Macaca mulatta: one gene and its partner. The protein of the gene in region 1 interacts with the protein of each later gene in a pairwise test. Links are inferred from orthologs where the notes say so. Each region holds a gene or a part of one and is shown in the gene's direction. Other genes may lie near its edges.

Evidence for each region. The genes of interacting proteins can lie anywhere in the genome.
Region 2: the proteins of UBQLN1 (region 1) and SRGN interact in binary tests that used the Homo sapiens proteins (3 or more experiments, as listed by UniProt). The two-hybrid records come from large-scale screens. The link is inferred for Macaca mulatta from reciprocal best matches to the Homo sapiens genes UBQLN1 and SRGN.

The regions. Positions count from the first base shown.
Region 1 is NC_133420.1:114,604,453-114,608,019, reverse strand, and holds part of UBQLN1 (ubiquilin-1), read left to right. Parts: intron 1-446; coding exon 447-709; intron 710-1,877; coding exon 1,878-2,036; intron 2,037-2,513; coding exon 2,514-2,748; intron 2,749-3,567. UniProt on the Homo sapiens protein: Plays an important role in the regulation of different protein degradation mechanisms and pathways including ubiquitin-proteasome system (UPS), autophagy and endoplasmic reticulum-associated protein degradation (ERAD) pathway.
Region 2 is NC_133414.1:80,543,178-80,546,828, reverse strand, and holds the end of SRGN (serglycin precursor), read left to right. Parts: intron 1-2,630; coding exon 2,631-2,874; 3' UTR 2,875-3,092; downstream 3,093-3,651. UniProt on the Homo sapiens protein: Plays a role in formation of mast cell secretory granules and mediates storage of various compounds in secretory vesicles. Required for storage of some proteases in both connective tissue and mucosal mast cells and for storage of granzyme B in T-lymphocytes.

The DNA.
Region 1 (3,567 bases):
AGCTTCAGCCCTTTAATCACTTTGTCTTTCTGGTGCCCAGCTCCTTTCTGAGGCTATCCAGGGGCCTAAGTCACTTCATTAGCATAATTTTCAAAAAGGGCTTGTAATGAATAATAAAAGATACTCCTGTCACTCAGAAAATTCCAAAGGTTTTAGTAACTCAGGATCAAGGAGAAAGACCAAATATATTTATGTATTATACTACACACATGAAAATATATTTTGTTGATTTTATTACTTAAATTTAATAACCAAAGTGTAAATTTTTGGCTAATTTCAATGATAGGAATTAAATATTAGTAATAGGTATTCGATTTGTTTTTAAATGATTTCTTGTGATAGACTGTTGGGTCAACTAATACTTTTTTGCATCTTCATAGTTTATGTCATGTTAATGATAAATTTTCTGACTTTGGTTTGTATGTTTTTGCCCTTTGTCTTCTTAGGTGGCCTTGGGGGACTTGCAGGTCTGAGTAGCTTGGGTTTGAATACTACCAACTTCTCTGAACTACAGAGTCAGATGCAGCGACAACTTTTGTCTAACCCTGAAATGATGGTCCAGATCATGGAAAATCCCTTTGTTCAGAGCATGCTCTCAAATCCTGACCTGATGAGACAATTAATTATGGCCAATCCACAAATGCAGCAGTTGATACAGAGAAATCCAGAAATTAGTCATATGTTGAATAATCCAGATATAATGAGACAAGTATGTGGAAAGTTCTTTCAATTTGTTTAGCTAAAAAATGATATATTTGTTATGTAATTTTCTATGATTAACGAGATTGTCCTATATGTATGGTTAAGCTAAAGAGAGAAATCCTTACCTTTGTTTAAGAAAACTCAACAAAGCCCTAATTTGGCTATTTGAACTCTGAATTTTCTGTTAAATTGAGGGATCTTTGTAAATAGTTTATTTTAAAGGATTAAGAATCAAAAAGTCCAATGTTGGAGATGGGAAATTCACTCTTAACGAAGTGCTTCCTTCTTTATGTTATTTGAATGCTAAGTTCCTTTTTTGAGGTGAAATACACCAGGGATTATTTAAAATAATCTCCTGCCTTGTATATTGAATACAAAATTGCGGCCGGGCGTGGTGGCTCACGCCTGTAATCCCAGCACTTTGGGAGGCCGAGGTGGGCGGATCACAAGGTCAGGAGATCGAGACCACGGTGAAACCCCGTCTCTACTAAAAATAGAAAAAATTAGCCGGGCGCAGGGGCGGGCGCCTGTAGTCCCAGCTACTCGGGAGGCTGAGGCAGGAGAATGGCGTGAACCCGGGAGGCGGAGCTTGCAGTGAGCCGAGATTGCGCCACTGCACTCCAGCCTGGGCGACAGAGCGAGACTCCGTCTCAAAAAAAAAAAAAAACAAAAACAAAAAAAAAAAAACAAAATTGCAACAACTCTAAAGCTTTAATTGGTTTTTATTTGTGATTCTAGAATCAGACAACACCTCGTTTTATAAAATAGAGTGTTCCCATGAGCTGAGCAGAAGAGGTTGGCTTTATAGGCATAAAAGGGCTGAAGAAAGCAAAAACAAACAAAAAGCAGATGGGTCATTTCAAAGTTACTTTCCTAATAGGGTTAAAATGGAGGGAACTCTTTCTTGTTACAGTGACTCACGTTGACTGCAGCTTACTATGGTTTTGAGGGGGAAACTGGCCCTTTTCATAGTTGACTTGATTACATGGCACTTGGCACAAGTGGCTCCATTTTGGTTTGGTCTGGTCTGCTGGGGCATAGTGCAGGAGGCTGGTCCAAAACAGTGGCCTCCCATAAACTTTGTTTAATGGCAGTTAATAAAGTAATTCATGTAATTCATGTGTATTTCAATGCCTTTTTTTCTTTTTAAATTTTTTCGGAAATCTTTTTCTTAGACGTTGGAACTTGCCAGGAATCCAGCAATGATGCAGGAAATGATGAGGAACCAGGACCGAGCCTTGAGCAACCTAGAAAGCATCCCAGGGGGATATAATGCTTTAAGGCGCATGTACACAGATATTCAGGAACCAATGCTGAGTGCTGCACAAGAGCAGGTGATCCACTGGCTCCAAGGTTCAGGCCAAGGAGTAGCTTCTGTTTTAACACAAATATGTGTATGACTGAGGGTAGCTTTTATATGAGGAATGTGGTTTTCAGTTTTTAAAATGTTTAGTGGCCGGGCACGGTGGCTCATGTCTGTAATCCCAGCACTTTGGGAGGCTGAGGCGTGCAGATCCCGAGGTCAGGAGCTCGAGACCATCCTGGCTAACATGGTGAAACCCCGTCTCTACTAAAAATACAAAAAATTAGCCGGGCGTGGTGGTGGGCACCTGTAGTCCCAGCTACTTGGGAGGCTGAGGCAGGAGAATGGCGTGAACCCGGGAGGCGGAGCTAGCAGTGAGCCGAGATCGCACCACTGCACTCCAGCCTGGGCGACAGAGCAAGACTCCGTCTCAAAAAAAAAAAAAAAAGTTTCTTGTCTTATTTAAAACAAAAGCTTATTATTTGTGATTTTTTTGTCTTTATTACAGTTTGGTGGTAATCCATTTGCTTCCTTGGTGAGCAATACATCCTCTGGTGAAGGTAGTCAACCTTCCCGTACAGAAAATAGAGATCCACTACCCAATCCATGGGCTCCACAGACTTCCCAGAGTTCATCAGCTTCCAGCGGCACTACCAGCACTGTGGGTGGCACTACTGGTAGTGCTGCCAGTGGCACTGCTGGGCAGAGTACTACTGCGCCAAATTTGGTGCCTGGAGTAGGAGGTATGCTTATAACAACTCAGGCTTTTTTCTTTGTTGTCCTCACTTACATAATTAAAACATTGTTTATACTCTTATTCTTTGTGCTTTTGTGTGTGTGTGTATGGTGAGTATCTTTTATAAACTATCTTTTTCATGTTTTTTTTTTTTTGATATAGAGCCTCACTCTTATTGCCCAGGCTGGAGTGCAGTGGCACAGTCTTGGCTCACTGCAGCCTCCACCTCCTGGGTTCAAGCGATTCTTCTGCCTCAGCCTTAGCCTCCTGAGTAGCTGGGATTATAGGCGCCCACCACCACGCCTGGCCAATTTTGTATTTTTAGTGGAGACGGGGTTTCTTCATGTTGGTCAGGCTGGTCTTGAACTCCTGACCTCAGGTGATCCGCCTGCATTGGCCTCCCAAATTGGTGGGATTATAGGCGTGAGCCACTGCACCTGGTCACATTTTTTTTTTTTTAAATGGAAGCTTTAAATGTAGAGAGAACACTTAGTTATCTGTATGGTTGTTACTAGAGCACATGTTTGCTGTCTTTAGCCTGGTTTTGTATTTTTAGATCAGTAGATTGTCAAGCACGCGTCTTGAGGTCAAGGCTATACTGGCTGCATCAGAGCACCTGCCAGATTTATTAAAAATCAGATTCCCAGATCTTACCCTCAGACTTTGTGGAGCTGAATTTTTCATAGTGGGGTTAAGATGTGTGTTTGTGTAAAGCAGATTCTCATGTGTGAACAGGTTAGAAATTTACTTTTGTCCACTTTTCTGTAGACTGGACTCAGTAAGTAGATGTCTTCCTTTCAGCTGTTCAGATACTACATGCTGATGT
Region 2 (3,651 bases), on another chromosome or scaffold:
CTCTCCAGCAGTTGCCCTTCTCTGCACCTCTTCACAATAACATCTCCTGAAAGGGCCACCCATGCCTGCTCCCTCCTTTCCTCACCCCCTCTGCAGCTAGACTTCTGTTCCTACACTCCACCCTGGTTGACAAAGTCACTGATTACTTCTCTATTTTCAGCTTACTTGACCCTTAATTGCCTTCAAAAATGGCTGACTGTGCCATGCATGTAATCCCAGCACTTTGGGAGGCCAAGGCAGGAGGATCACTTGAGCTCAGGAGTTCAAGACGAGCCTGCCTGGGCAACACAGTTAGACCCTATCTACAAAAAATAGAAAAATTAGCCGGGCATGGTGACTCACGCCTGTGGTCCCAGCTACAAAGGAAGCTGAGGTGGGAGGACGGCTTGAGTTCGGGAGGGTGAGGCTGCAGTGAGCCATGATCATGCCACTGCACTCCAGCCCACACAACAGAAGAAGGCCCTTTCTTTTACAAGAAAAAAAAAAATTGTTGACCCCTCCCTTGAAATGCTTTTGTCTTGGGGCTTACATGCCCTGCCTTATCCTGTTTCTTCCTACTTCTCTGGTTGTGCTTTTTCCTCTGCTCAATATTTAACATGTTGGTGTGACCCTGGCTGTGGCCTGGTCCCCCTTCTCTATCTACATGTTTTCTGTCGATGACCTCCATTGGTTCCAAGGGTTTAACTACCAAATCTGTGTTTCCAGCTCTGACACCCCAGGCTAAAGTAGCCACCTGGTCACTCCCTATTACATTAGTCAATTTCATTTATCTGTACCACCTACGATTTTCCTGATTCATTTATTCACTGATTGTCTGTCTTCGCCACTAAAATAAAAACTTCTTGAGCAGGCGCTTCATTGGTCTGCCTCTGTTCTATCCCAGGCCCTCAAAACAAGGACCAGATGTTCAACAAATATTTATTGAATGTGTACATGAATTAAAACTCTAATTGGTTATATGCTGGTGGTTTATTATTTTCATGGAGGAAATGACTTGTAAGCTGTGACACTCAGCTTTTGTCTCTGATCCTTCGTTATCCTATTCTGTCACCGAGGGCTGTCGTCATTGCTCGGACCATTTTGTGCTCTTTGAATTTCTAATCATCACAGTCAACCCAGAAGGCAGCCTTACCTTTCAGCACTCTTCAGCTGAATGAATGCAAGTTGGAGACAGGGTCATTTTTTGATAGGAAATTGAATGTTTATATGCTGGTATATATATAAAGCTTAGCTTCTTACAAAGAATTTCTCAAAAGTGAGCTTTGTTGAAGCACTGTAAATTATTAGAACTTTTATGGAAATTTTAATTTAGGAAAAAATGTCATCTGTCTGGGCTGACTTAGTTGTTAGTTGTTTGTCCTTTCTTTTTTTTTTGGTGGAGGGTACGGAGTTTTGCTCTCGTAGCCCAGACTGGAGTGCAGTGGCACGATCTCGGCTCACTGCAACCTCCGCCTCCCAGGTTCAAGCGATTCTCCTGCTTCAGCCTCTTAAGTAGCTGGGATTACAGGCATGCACCACCATGCCCGGCTAATTTTTGTATTGTTAGTAGAAACGGGGTGTCACCATGTTGGCCAAGCTGATCTCAAAACCCTGACCTCAGGTGATCCACCTGCCTCAGTCTCCCAAAGTGCTAGGATTACAGGCGTGAGCCACCGCACCTGGCAGTTTATCCTCCCTTTAGAGAGAAAGAGGTCTTTTTTTGAGACGGTCTTGCTCTGTTGCCCAGGCTGGAGTGCAATGGCGCGATCTTGGCTCACTGCAACCTCTGCCTCCCTGGTTCAAGGGATTCTGTCACCACAGCCTTCTGAGTAGCTGGGATTACAAGCGTGTGCCACCACGCCTGGTTAATTTTTGTATTTTCAGTACAGACGGGGTTTCACCATGTTAGTCAGGCTGGTTTCGAGCTCCTGACCTCAATTGATCACCTACCTTGGCCTCCCAAAGTGCTTGGATTACAAACATGAGCCACCACACCCGGCCAAGAGGCCTTCTTTTAAAAATGATTTATTGGGCCGGGTGCAGTGGCTCACGCCTGTAATCCCAGGACTTTGGGAGGCTGAGGTGGGTGGTTCACAAGGTCAGGAGTTTAAGACCAGCCTGGCCAATATGGTGAAACCCCATCTCTACTAAAAATACAAAAATTAGCCGGGTGTGGTGGCGCACACCTGTAGTCCCAGCTACTTGGGAGGCTGAGGCAGGAGAATCACTTGAACCTGGGAGGCGGAGCTTGCAGTGAGCCGAGATGGCACCACTGCACTCCAGCCTGGGCAACAGAGCAAGACTCTGTCTCCAAAAATAAAAATTAAAAAAATAAAAATAAAAATGATTTCTTAAGTAAATTTCAAATATAGAATGTATATGCTAGTGATAACAAAATTAACACTGTTTATCTGCAATAGGTAGATGTGGAGTTGATCGGTGCAATAAGTATAGGCAAACACATAGGAACATTTGACCTGTTTTTTTGTTGGTTTTAAAACATTGAATAATTTGGAAGCTTTTAAATCTCTTAATTTAAGCAACTAGATCGCTCTATTTATCTCCTTATCTTTAAAAAAAACTGTTAAAATTATCTTTCCCACATATCAAACTCTACTGTTTTTTTTTCCCATTTTTCTTTCATACTTCAGAAAGACAAGAATCCAGGACTTGAATCGTATCTTCCCACTTTCTGAGGACTATTCTGGATCAGGTTCCGGCTCCGGCTCTGGATCAGGATCTGGGAGTGGCTTCGTAACTGAAATGGAACAAGATTACCAACCAGTAGATGAAAGTGATGCTTTCCATGACAACCTTAGGTCTCTTGACAGGAATCTGCCCTCAGACAGCCAGGACTTGGGTCAACATGGATTAGAAGAGGATTTTATGATATAAAAGAGAATTTTCCCACCTTGACACCAGGCAATGTATTTAGCATATTTTGCGTACCATGGTTAGATGATCAACCTTGGGACAAAGGATTTTATAGACATTTTTAAACATCTGAAAAAGAAGCTTAAGTTTTATCATCCTTTTTTTCTCATGAATTCTTAAAGGATTATGCTTTAATGCTGTTATCTATCTTATTGTTCTTGAAAATACCTGCATTTTTTGGTATCATATTCAGCCAACATCATTATGAAATTAATTAGATTCCCATGGCCATAAAATGGCTTTAAAGAATATATTTTTTTTAAAAAATGGTTTGAGAAGCAAATTGGCAGGTAATATTTCGTACCTAAATTAAGAATCTGACTTGGATTGTGAATTACAGATATGCCCCTTTTCTTATAAAAACAAAACAAAAAAATAGTGAAGCACAGTGAATTTGTAGAGTGGGGGTATTTGACATATTTTACAGTGTGGAGTGTACTATATACTATTACCTTTGAATGTGTTTGCAGAGCTAGTGGACATGTTTATCTACAAGTACAATTGCTGTTACATAACACCCCAAATAACTCCCAAATTAAAGCACAGTTGTGCTCTCAATACCTCATACTGCTTTACCTTTTTTTCCTGGATATCTGCGTATTTTCAAATGTTACTATATATTAAAGCAGAAATATAACCAAAGGTTAAGTTGTCTCGGATCTCTTGTTCTAAACCCAGGAAATAGTTATTTTTGGCCAGATGTTTCTCTAGAAGTCTTATCAACAAAACAACTTTAAA